Linked DNA regions of Saccharomyces cerevisiae S288C. The main gene of each other region encodes a partner of the protein of the gene in region 2 in a complex. Each region holds a gene or a part of one and is shown on either strand. Other genes may lie near its edges.

Region 1 (5,144 bases), on a different chromosome or scaffold from region 2:
AGAGGAGGAGGATGTAGCCACCGACTCTGAGTAAATGCTTTGATCTGCTGATGTAGCAATGTTTTTTTCCTTCTTTTTCCTGACGTATTATTATTTGAGACCGAAACTTCGCTGGAAAAGAAACACTTCGATCCTTTTTTTATCTTCTGCATTATAACGCGCAACGATGAAGTGTTAATACATGAAAGAAGATGGGATTGGATTGTAGCGACCAAAGGCCACAAATAAATATGCACTGTTTTTAAATTTTTTTTTCATTAAAAAAATACGAATAAATTCCTTAAACACATACATCATTTTGCTTCAAATTTTTACGTTTGTAAGAAAGACCATTTGTTGTCTTAATACCTATGAAGCACTACTTATAATCTTAATTAAATCTAATTCTTTTCTTTAACTTTTTTTTTGAGCATCGCTTCTATCAATTATGTGTATACATACATACATACATATAAATATACGCGCAGGCTAAGTAGAAAACAACGCAAGATAGAATTACTTTATTTGTCATTCATCAAGCGCAATAAAATCTCTCTAGGTGTGCAGTATTGCATTTTTACGTTCTTGGAGGCGGCTATCCATTCGGGTCCGTAAGTAGGCTCACATTGATCGAACATATTGTAGAGATCAACAGTATCCTTGCCTAACCTTGCATATGTCCTAAATAGCCAAACCCATGTATCTCCGTAACGCGAGCACTTTTTCAGAGCTCTTTCTAACCATTTTAATGATGTTTCATATTGCGCTTCTGCATAAAAGGATACTCCAATCTCCAAAAGAACGCGATGATCGTTTTGTGTCCTTCTTAAAGCATCTTGAAAAATTGTTTTTTTTAACGAACTTTTGTTTCCATGCTTAAACAGCTTGATTTGCTCCACCCAAAGTAAAGCATTGCTTGGAAACTTTTGCAATGCCTGTGTGACGAGTAACTCCGCCTGATCTAAGTTACCAAGTCTTATTTCCATTTGGATTTTAGCAATGTAAAATAATACATCGTCAGGATTTTTTAACAATCCTCTATCTAAAATTGATCTTGCCCTTACTGGATTTTTTAGATCAATCTCGTCAATCTTTGATAGGGAAACCCATAATAAAGGGCAATTGGGCACTAACCTTGTACCAGACAAATAGGTTTCTCTACTCATTTCAATATTGCCCATGGAATGATAAATTTGACCCAGCTGTAAAAAAAATTTGTGGCAGATGGGAAATGATTTCAAACATCTCTCATTCAAGAATTTTATAGCCTCTTCATTCAGATCTTGGTACCGCAGAAAGTTTACGTATTTATAATATAATCTTTCCGTGCCACTGATCTTAAAATCCTCTAAAGAGGAGAAAGTTTGCTGAAAAAAATCTCGTAATTCATCAAGTTGTAGTGAACGACCTAATAACTTTATCTTGAAAAAGCGTAAATCCAAATTATGCGGGGCGAAATCTATAATCTGGTCAATCAAAACTAGTGTTTGCCTAGTATCCCCTTTTTGGGCCTTCCAATATTCGCTTACATACATCATTAACAAGCCAGGGCTTTTCTCCCTCATATTTGCTCGTATATCATCACTATTCTTGGTCTGAAATAGCAGCTCCTGGAAAAATGCTAATAACTCTTCAATTTTATGGTAGCTTTCAGTGGCCATTTTCAGTCTAGACCAAAGAACTGTATCACAAGGATCCCACTGAATAAGCTTTTTTAAGACAGCAATTTGTACCTTTGAGTGTGGCATTTTTTCTAATATCTGATCAACATTATTCAACTCAGACTCATACTCGCCACTTTCTCTTAACCATTCTAATATAGCGTAAACGATGGCTTGACAGGTTAAATTTGAATTGGGCGCATCATTTAGAGCCTCTGCACGTTTCAACCATGCTGACAAGGTCGCTTTGTACCCATTTTTAGAGAGTTCCAATAAACCCTCCTTGAGCAAACTAACTAGTTTATCTACAGGTATATCTGGGTTATTTCGTTCTTCCAAGAGTGTAGAGATAATCCAAATTTCCGGTTCTTGCGGAAGGATTTTTCTGAAGGAATTCAAAGTCATTTTAGCATTATGATAGCTTTGCAAATTAGTATATGCAGTCAAGAGATCCATACTTTGTGGAATAAATTGTGTGGCTTTCTCTAACATTTTTATAACTTGCGCTTTGTCAGCTTCAAAACTGACAGCTAGCTTCCATAGGCCCTCATCTCGAGGAATCTCTTGCAGTGCTTTTCTCACTACTCTATATTTGTTAACCGTTGTGCTTTCCAAATCAATAGCTTTGAACCAAAGAAGCGGAGACGTTGGATTAAAATTTATTGCCGTTGCCACTAATGTTTTACAGTAGTGAACATCAGATTCGTGTAGTCTAATGTTTTCTAGCCAAATATCGGAGCTTCGAGGGCACTCTTGGCAACCATTTTCTATTATTTTTTTTGCTACTGAAAATTTTCTTGCCTTTTCTTCTAATCTGGCAGAAGCTATCCAACCCTGTGGATTTGTTGGATCGGCCTTTCTGTATGACTTTAAAATTGTGCGCATTTTCTGTAAATCTTCTAACGTTGCGTCTGAGAGAGAATTTACTCTATCGTTTTCTAAGTCCTTTAAGTAACTTAGGGCATCGGTAGCAGCGTTCGGTTTATTAACCTGTATAGGGTTACTTGCATTCTTCGTTAATTGTGCAAGATTCTCATCTATTTGAGATTGCAATAATTTTTCTCGTTCTTCCGTTAATTTATTTAAATCAACATTCCCAGGTATTAGCGAATCCGGTGCAGCATAAGTTTTTCTGTTTAATTGCTCTTGAATTCTATTTCTCTTGTTTCTTCTTGTAAAATCTGTGGCATCCGGAATATCCATCCACTCACTCTCCGTTACAGCAGCTAATGATTCTTTCAAATCGGCAAATTGCCGTTTCACGTTTGAAGAATCAACTGAATTGTCATCATCCTTTTCATTAGCTCTTTTCTTTTTCTTTTGTGCTAATTTCAATTCAAGCGTTTTGAATACATTTGCAGCTTCATCATCTTCATCATCTTTCGGTTGGCTTTGAAGATGGTTGTTCAAATTTTCACGGTACCTTTTCGGTATTCTTCTTCCTTTGTCATCATTACTAACCACTTGCTTTTCTTTTGTTGAAAATCCAGTGGCTCCACGACCAATACCTGGTACGTAACCTGCAGGTGGTTCTTGATCCAAAAAAGATGGCCTCTCCATAAAATGTGACGTTTTCTTGCTGTTAAACTCTTTATGTCAACTCACCCGTATATTTTCTGAAATTTTTCGTTTTTTTTTGCTTAATAGAACAATCTGACACACTATAAATGTACTGGTTAAATTAGCCCAAGGTTCTATCAACGGTAAAGAAGACTTTTAAAAATACTTTCGTTACATTATTTATTAAAAGAAGAAACGCCATCATTTCATAAAGGTCTCCGGAGGAGCTACTAAAGAAAGAGTGCTGCAATTAATACAATTAATATAAGTGTGGTTATTGAAAATAACTATTCATTTATACGGAGGGTTGGCCGAGTGGTCTAAGGCGGCAGACTTAAGATCTGTTGGACGGTTGTCCGCGCGAGTTCGAACCTCGCATCCTTCAGTAATATTTTTTTAATATACATTTTCTCTGCCATCATGGCTTAAAAAATGCTTAAAAGAAGGGAATTAGGGGGGATGGATGAACTAAGACATAACTTTCTTTTCTTCAATTCGAACTCTGTTGGGAAGAGTTGCTTTAAAAAAGACTCTCTATCCATCTATAAAATTTATTAAAACTTTTGAACTGCACAGAATGATTGGCTCACTTAGAAACAAATTTGAGCATTTCAAAGTTTCTGAAAAGGGAGGTCAAAATTTATCTACAACACTACCGAAACTACCCCCTGCAAAGGACCTTGATAGATCAACTATCTACAAGTACCGTTACAATTATGGTGTAAACTTGGGTGCGTTATTTGTGCTCGAACCATGGATTTTTTCTAAAGAAACCATTTGTACAATCGATGGGAAAGAATATGATAGCGAATTTGATGCTATTTCCCAACAATTGAAGAAGCATTCTTCTGAAGACGTTGCGAAAATGTTAAGCGATCACTATAAAAAGTACATTGATCGAATTGACTGGGAATGGCTATCTAAAGATGCCCATATTACAGCGTTACGTATTCCAATTGGATATTGGCATGTCGAAGATGGGAAGCATTTAGATTCGCTTCCATTTGCCCCATTGAGAAAAGTTTATGAGTTAGCCAAACCTTGGGAAAAACTTGGCGAATTAATCAATAATGCCAAGAAAATGAGCATTGGTGTATTGATAGATTTGCATGGTCTACCAGGAGGCGCTAATTGCGACTCACACAGTGGCTCGAAGAGTGGTGAAGCTGCGTTTTTCCACAAGGAAAAGTACATGACCAAAGTCTACAAAGATATTTTACCTGCAATTATTAACACAATGACTCTGGGCAACGAAAACATCATTGGTATTCAAGTGGTTAATGAGGCATGTTTTGATAATAACCCAAAGGGCCAAAAATTCTATTATTCAGAAGCCATTAATACCGTTGAAAAACTTCAACCAGGTTTACCTGTCATAATATCCGATGGTTGGTGGCCCCAACAATGGGCAGACTGGGTTAAAGAAAAACATTTTAGTGAAATAGTGGTCATTGATTCTCATGTCTACCGCTGTTTTTCTGATTCTGATAAGTCGAAGGATGCCAATTCCATTATCAAGGATTTGCCAAATACTGTGAATTTTCCTCATGAAGATGCCGATTATACTGTTGGTGAATTTTCTGGTGTTCTTGATGGACAAACTTGGAATAAAACTTCTGGCGACAGAGACGCTATTGTTCAAAAATACGTACAAACCCAAGCAGATGTATTTTCTCATGTAGCTAGTTGGGGTTGGTTTTTTTGGACTTTGCAGTTTGAATACGGTGATGGAGGTGAATGGGGCTTAGCTCCCATGATGCAGAAAGGAAATTTACCAAAACGTCCTCACGGTGATGACTTACAAGTCGACAAGAAGAAAATAGATTCAATAATCCATGAACACGAGGCTTATTGGAACGGTAAAGGTAAAAATTTTGAACACTGGAGGTTTGAGGATGGCATAAAGACAGCTGTTGATGATATAATTGCCTTTAGGAAATTTGA
Region 2 (3,042 bases):
AATGAATTCATCGTTACAGAATCCCAACTACTAAAGAAAATTGATAAGGTTTTTAACGATGAAACGGAGGAATTCACTGATGCCTATGATGTAACTTCTAACTTCACGCAATTTGGAAATAGAAAATTATTACTTTCAGGTAACACCACCCTACAAACCCAAATTAACAACGCAATAATGGGCTCTTTGTCAAACGAAAAGTTTTTCGATATTTCTTTAGTGGATTCATATCTGAACAAGGATTTAAAAAACATTTCCAATAAAATTGATTCCAAATTAAACCCCACCTCTAATGGAGCTGGAAATAATGGTAATAATAATAATACAACCAACTTGTAAATAACTAATATATATACTACTTCAACATGTCATGTATTCGAAAGTGCCTTAGACGCATTACAACTAAAGAAAAGAAGAAAAAAAAATCAAATCGAGAATAAATATGCCCATGTATATACGTCACTTGCGAATTGTCTATTTCTCTCGTTCCCCTTTTTCTTTCAGTCCGCTGATGTTATCAATGTGATATTATCGCCTTTCAACAGGATCTTCCCCAAGGGCGTGCCCTTCTCCACATCTTCTTTACCATCGGCACTATTCACAGGAATTTCCACGGCTTCATCGATGACAACATTCATGAACTCATCAAATCCAACTATTTTACCCTTGATTCTTATGCCGATTTGCTCGAATAACCATATCGTTACTGGTGTTTGCTGTTGTAAGAAGTTAAATATGCAATTTATTGGTGGCACCATGGCCTTGGTTTTAACTTTGTTCGACATTCCAAGCCTCTTGTTTTTCGCTCTATATCCTTCCTGTGTTCCTTAATCTCCTTTCCTTAGTATTATCTCTTACCTTTACCATCTATTATTGTTATTTCACTTCAATTTTCTATTTCTCTGTTAGATGCTCAGGCTTTCGGTATAATTGAAAAAAATTTTCGAACATAAGGGATATTGACAAAAAAATAAATGAAGGAAAAAGGCATGAAAATACTCGTTGACAGATCAGTATCAAGGATTTATTGAGGATATACTAAGGATTAACTTGCGTTATGGACAACTTACAGGTATCTGATATAGAAACTGCTTTACAATGCATATCGTCTACTGCATCTCAAGATGATAAAAACAAAGCGCTTCAATTTTTAGAACAATTCCAAAGATCAACTGTTGCCTGGTCTATTTGCAATGAAATATTGTCTAAAGAAGATCCTACAAACGCTCTTCTAGAATTAAATATTTTTGCTGCGCAAACTTTAAGGAATAAAGTCACATATGATCTATCACAATTAGAAAATAATCTACCACAATTCAAGGATTCTTTGTTGACGCTTTTATTATCGCATAACCAAAAATTGATTATTACACAACTGAATGTCGCGTTAGCACGTTTGGCGATCCAATTTTTAGAATGGCAGAATCCAATTTTCGAGATCATTTCATTGTTGAATTCTTCACCATCTATATTATTAAACTTTTTAAGAATTTTACCTGAGGAAACCTTAGACATTGCATCTACTTCCTTGACAGAAGTGGAATTCAATTCCAGAATTCATGAACTAATTGATCCGATAGCAGAAGATGTATTGAAATTCCTTGTATCATGCATAGACCTATTACAAAATACAGACGGGAATTCCAGCTCATCTATTTCATTAGAACAAATTTTACGGTGTTTGAACTCTTGGTCGTATGAATTCCCTGTTGAACAGTTGCTAACCGTACAACCCTTAATAAATCTCGTGTTTGAAACTATTTCCAATGGTAATGAAAGTGACATGGAGGCATTCGATTCCGCTATTGATTGTCTCTGCGTTATCCTCAGAGAAAGCAGAGATACTACTAATGAGCAGTTGATTTCTGCTTTATTTCATCAGTTAATGCTTTTACAAGAAAAACTATTGCCTACTCTGTTCACAGACCATCCTTTGAACGATGAATATGATGACGATCTCCTAGAAGGTATGACACGATTATTCGTAGAAGCTGGCGAGGCTTGGTCAGTTGTCATTTCTAAAAACCCCGATTTTTTTAAACCAATGGTTTTGGTATTATTGATGTTGACCTGCAAAAATGAAGACTTAGATGTCGTTTCCTATACTTTCCCCTTTTGGTTTAACTTCAAACAAAGTTTAGTTTTGCCAAGATATCAAGAATCAAGAAAAGCTTACTCTGATATTTTTGTTAAATTAATAAATGGTATAATTACTCATTTACAATATCCATCAGGCCAGTTTTCATCTAAAGAGGAAGAAGATAAATTTAAAGATTTCAGGTATCATATGGGCGATGTGTTAAAAGACTGTACTGCAGTGGTGGGAACTTCTGAGGCTTTATCGCAACCACTAATAAGAATTAAGTCCGCAATAGAAAACAACAATAGCTGGCAAATAATGGAAGCCCCATTATTTTCCCTGAGGACTATGGCTAAAGAAATTTCGTTGACTGAAAACACTATATTGCCAGAAATCATTAAAATCATTTGTAACCTTCCAGAGCAGGCCAAGATTAGGTATGCATCAACATTAGTTCTTGGTAGATATACCGAATGGACAGCCAAGCATCCAGAACTACTAGAAGTTCAATTGCAATATATTTTTAACGGTTTTCAACTGCATGAGGGTTCATCGGATATGCAAAGTATAATCACTGCATCATCACATGCATTAATGTTCTTCTGTTCGGACTGCTCTAAACTATTAGTTGGGTATATTGATCAGTTGATTAATTTCTTCCTCAACGTGCAGAGTTCGATTGATATTGAGTCACAATTTGAACTATGTCAAGGATTAAGTGCAGTAATAAATAATCAGCCAGAGGCCAAAGTTTCAGTAATATTTCAAAAGCTCGTAGATGATAATTTGCGACAAATCGAGGCTTTGATTCCTCAATGGAAAGCAAATCCAACGCTCTTGGCTCCACAGATTGCTGATAAGATTGATTTGCTATATGCGCTTTTTGAAGAATTGAAACCGAGATACAATTATCCTCAGCAAGGATCGGAACCTTTACTCCCCAGGATAGAATTTATTTGGAA
Region 3 (4,040 bases), 260 kb from region 2:
ACGAATGGCTCCTTATTAAACACTTTTATCGTCAATCCACTTACTCTCTAAATATCGTAAGCTTTGCATATATAAGCATATAATAAAAATAGTTGGTATATGCTGCACGTGTAGTCTAATGTTCTTTTCTTTTTTTTCTTTATTCTTTTTTCTCCTCTTTATGAATACAGATATTCAATTTTTTGAATATCTGATTGTTTTTATTTTCATTTCAATTTTTTTTTTTTTTCAATTTTTTTTATCCGATCGTTGCGCCAAGCTTCTATCGCTTAAAACAATGACACTTCGCTGTGAAATGACACAATGGCTTGAGATTCAGGCACAACGCAAAAGGTCTTTACAAATGTATATCACAGAATATTAATGTTTGAAAAGTACTTCCGAATTCAAGGCCACCACGTAGCCTTATACACCAAATACAATTATACACAGGTTTCAAACTTGAGAAAAACAAGATATTGAATATTAAAAGCTGGGGCTAGTAGAATTTGCTGATTAGGTTAATTGTCATCAAATTCAAACAAACTACCATTTTCAGGGGTATTTTTCCTTGCTTCAATTCTGGATTTCATTTTTGCTCTCTTTTTCTTGTTGCTTTTTGTACCATGAAATTTCTGTGACAGTTTTTTATATGCCTCCTTAGTAGTCAGTCGATTTCCCTTTTCGTCTCTGTAAACCAGTTTTATGTCAGGATCATAATGATCTTGTCTTTTTGAATGAGTATTTGCATTGGAAGAGTCACTAGATGTGAATTGTTCCAGTCCGTGTAGCTTATCTTTTGTATAAGTGCCAGTGCCCGTATGCTCTTTATTTCGGACATCCCTTCGAAGTGATTCACTATTATTAACATCCTTTCCTGGTTTCAAATCGACGTCTCCTGTGGTGAAAACACTCTTTTTCCGAAGATATCCTAGTGTTGATGCAAGACCAGAAAAAAAGTTCGGTGCATTTTCAGCATCTCCCTCGTAGTTTGGTTCATTATTAACTGCTTCAGTCAGTGTATTGTTTCCACTCCCTTCCTTAGTATGTCCATTGGTAACATCTCCGATATTTTTCTCTCCTTCACCATGCACTTTCACTTTATTCTCAGTAGCACTTCGTTCGGAGAGACTGGTATCCAAAGTATTTAAAAAAGTTACCTTTTCGTCGACGACAATACTGTTGGAAATTTCACGCATTTTCAAAATGCTTTCAGTGCGTCGCTTCTCTTCGTCTCTTGCCTTTTCAATTTCTCTAGCGAGGTCCTCTGGCCCTTTCAATTCATTGTTTGAGCTTGTTCTGGGATTTATTATGGTGACTGGCTGTTCTTCTTCCATCCAGGATAAACTTTCATCTTCATCTACTAACTTAACAATTTCCATCTTATCAGTAATTTTTGACTTCCTAGCTTTAGTAGATCTTGGGTCCTTGATCTTACGTTTTTTAATTTTTAAAGGTTTAAAGTCTCCACCATCTTCATCTGACATATTATTTGCGCTATCGAAATTCACTTTAACTTTTCCCGTTGGTGGTTTTGCTGATATAGTATTCGGTGCCTTCATAACACCCTGTTCTGCTCCGATGATTAGATGTGTAGTTGTAATTGAGTGTTTCTCTCCTTCTTCTTCTTCTTCAATATCTAAGCTAGATACATTTAAAATTTTTTTTTTTTGTCTTCTATCTTTATTCATTTGTCGTAATCGTAGTTTCTCTCTATCAGCGTTTTCCTCGGCAGCTTTCACATTCTCTAACACTTCGGTAGAATCAGTATCATCAAAAATACTGCTCTCTTTCAAAGTTAGAATCGTATCTTTCTTTGGGCTAAGCGCCTCGATATTATATGATACTTGAACATTATGCAGATCAATATTTTCGTCTTCCTTCGTGGCGCCTTTTCTTGGCAATGTGCTGGAACGTTTGGATTCATGTGAGGAAGGAATTGCATCCATGTTTTCTAGCCATGAACTGTCGTCATTTACATTAGTTTCTTCGAGAAGGTGCGCCATTCGTAAAGGAGCGTTCGCCTTTTTTTGAAACTTTGTTATCTTCTCTCGAAGTTCATCGATTTTGGATGTGTTATGTACATTAGGGGGAGAAGAATTGAAATTTTGTTGGGGTGGGATAAGTTTTAGGCCAAGGGACGCCCTCAACTCATTCGTCTCTTCGATTGACAAAGACTCTTTATGGTCTGTATTCTTTTCTTGAAAAACTGGAATAGGTTTCATACCCAGCTTTTCCCTTATTTCATTTGTCTCCTCAATAGAAAGGTTTTCCGTTTTGTTCATAAATTAATTAAGGGTTGATGTGATGATTGCCTTTTTATTAATATCAAATAGTAACGATTGCACCATCTCATCCTTTGCTCACTTTCAAAAATTTTGTATATCTTTTTCGTCCCGCGAATAATTTTAAGTTGCGCAGTTCACGATATGAATACCTATAACTGCTAATGGTACAAATTTTTTAAAGGTTAAACAAAACTTTTAATGATATAAAGTACCTAAAACTATGTAAACATAAATTATGTATACTATTTCAAATATATCACCTAAAAAAAATAATAAGTTCAATTCAATATGGGCGTACAGCACTAATTTACAGATTATGGAATAAAATATGAAATGAGAAATAGGTTAAGCATTGGATAATTATAGAAAATTTTCTAAATCCAAATAAAAGGGAACGCGAGGGGTCACTAATTATTAAAATGTAAAATGCATCCTTATTTCTTCTCTTTCTTCTCTTTCTTGGACTTCTTTTCCTTCTTCTCTTTCTTCTCTTTCTTCTCCTTCTTTTCCTTCTTTTCCTTCTTTTCCTTCTTGTCCTTCTTTTCCTTCTTAGCTTTTTTAGAATCCTTGGAATCTTCATCATCGTCTCTCTTTCTCTTCTTTTCTTTCTTTTCTTTCTTTTCTTCCTCTTCATCATCAGAATCGGATTCAGAATCAGAAGCAGCCTTTGCGGTATCAGCATCTGCATTGTAGGCCCTAGCTTCAGTCATTTCCACCTTCTTAGCCTCACGAACAACCTTTGGAGTAGTTCTTAAATCTCTACCTTCTAATTGGGATAATCTATTTTCTACTTTGGCTCTTGATTCTAGACCAATGTCACCTGAATCGTCTCTATCTTCAGCTAAAGCATCATAACGCAATGAGACAGCGGCCTTAGCAGCCAGAACTCTTGCAATCTTACCTTTGTTCTTACCAGTAGCTTGACCAACAAGAGAGGCATGATATAGCAAACCATACTTTGGTGTATCATGCTTGGTCTTTAAAGCTCTGAATAAAGCCTTTTCGGCACCTAATATTTGGATGGTAGAAGCTGGTGATTTGGCCAAGGAAATTAAGGAACCTGAATGAGCGATAAGTCTAGCACCAACTAATTCACCAACCAACTGAGTCAAGTTTGGAGCAATAGCCTTCATTCTTGCAGACAAGTAATTGGACAACTGTTCTCTGTAAGCGGCAAATTCGACTATTTGTTCAGCTAAAGCATTAATGTTGTCTAGATCGGTTTGAGTGATTTCAGTACCCATAGACACTTCAGCAGCGGTTTTGACACGTTCTTCAATCTCTTCTGGTAAGATTTCACTCAAATCTGTTTCAGAAGCCTTGGATCTGATACCCATTGTTAGAATAATTCTCGCATAAGCGACGGAATCAGTAACAATCTTAGCTAACTCAGGAAAGTGCCACCCGTACCATTCTTTACATCTCATGGCATATGTGTTTAATTCTTTATCTAAATCATCCAATAAAGCAATTGCTTGAATAATCATAACATCAACTTTGTCAGCAGAAAATTTTAATTTGTGACGACCGATGGAATGAGCTAAACCCAAAGACATCTTGCTTAGATCATTATCAGACATACCTGGCAGCAATTCTGGCAAATATTCTTTGATAGCTCTATAGATATCTAAGGTTACAGCATCGGAAACAACATTGAAGTTCAATCCCAACTTATTAATAGCGTTTGCCAGTTTAGTTTCACTAACAATCAAGGTCGACTTCTTGTCCTTTTTAATTTCTTCCAGAAGTTTTTCTAATTGGGAAGAAACTTTA

The links. Proteins that work in one complex are often made in the same cells at the same time.
Region 1: SME1 (region 2) and PRP6 share a complex: the UniProt entries of both Saccharomyces cerevisiae proteins name them as parts of the U4/U6-U5 tri-snRNP complex.
Region 3: SME1 (region 2) and SNU66 share a complex: the UniProt entries of both Saccharomyces cerevisiae proteins name them as parts of the U4/U6-U5 tri-snRNP complex.

Annotation. Positions count from the first base shown.
Region 1 is NC_001134.8:344,102-349,245, forward strand, and holds PRP6 (U4/U6-U5 snRNP complex subunit PRP6), read right to left. Parts: upstream 3,201-5,144; coding exon 501-3,200; downstream 1-500. Other genes in the region: YRO2 (Yro2p), read left to right, coding at 1-34; MRX18 (17-beta-hydroxysteroid dehydrogenase-like protein), read left to right, coding at 3,778-5,144. UniProt on the Saccharomyces cerevisiae protein: Participates in pre-mRNA splicing. Part of the U4/U5/U6 tri-snRNP complex, one of the building blocks of the spliceosome.
Region 2 is NC_001147.6:632,782-635,823, forward strand, and holds SME1 (mRNA splicing protein SME1), read right to left. Parts: upstream 786-3,042; coding exon 501-785; downstream 1-500. Other genes in the region: mitochondrial 37S ribosomal protein mS26 PET123, read left to right, coding at 1-339; mRNA transport regulator MTR10, read left to right, coding at 1,058-3,042. UniProt on the Saccharomyces cerevisiae protein: Involved in pre-mRNA splicing. Binds and is required for the stability of snRNA U1, U2, U4 and U5 which contain a highly conserved structural motif called the Sm binding site. Involved in cap modification.
Region 3 is NC_001147.6:894,124-898,163, forward strand, and holds SNU66 (U4/U6-U5 snRNP complex subunit SNU66), read right to left. Parts: upstream 2,265-4,040; coding exon 501-2,264; downstream 1-500. Other genes in the region: RNA-processing protein NOP58, read right to left, coding at 2,702-4,040. UniProt on the Saccharomyces cerevisiae protein: Component of the U4/U6.U5 tri-snRNP particle, one of the building blocks of the spliceosome. Required for pre-mRNA splicing.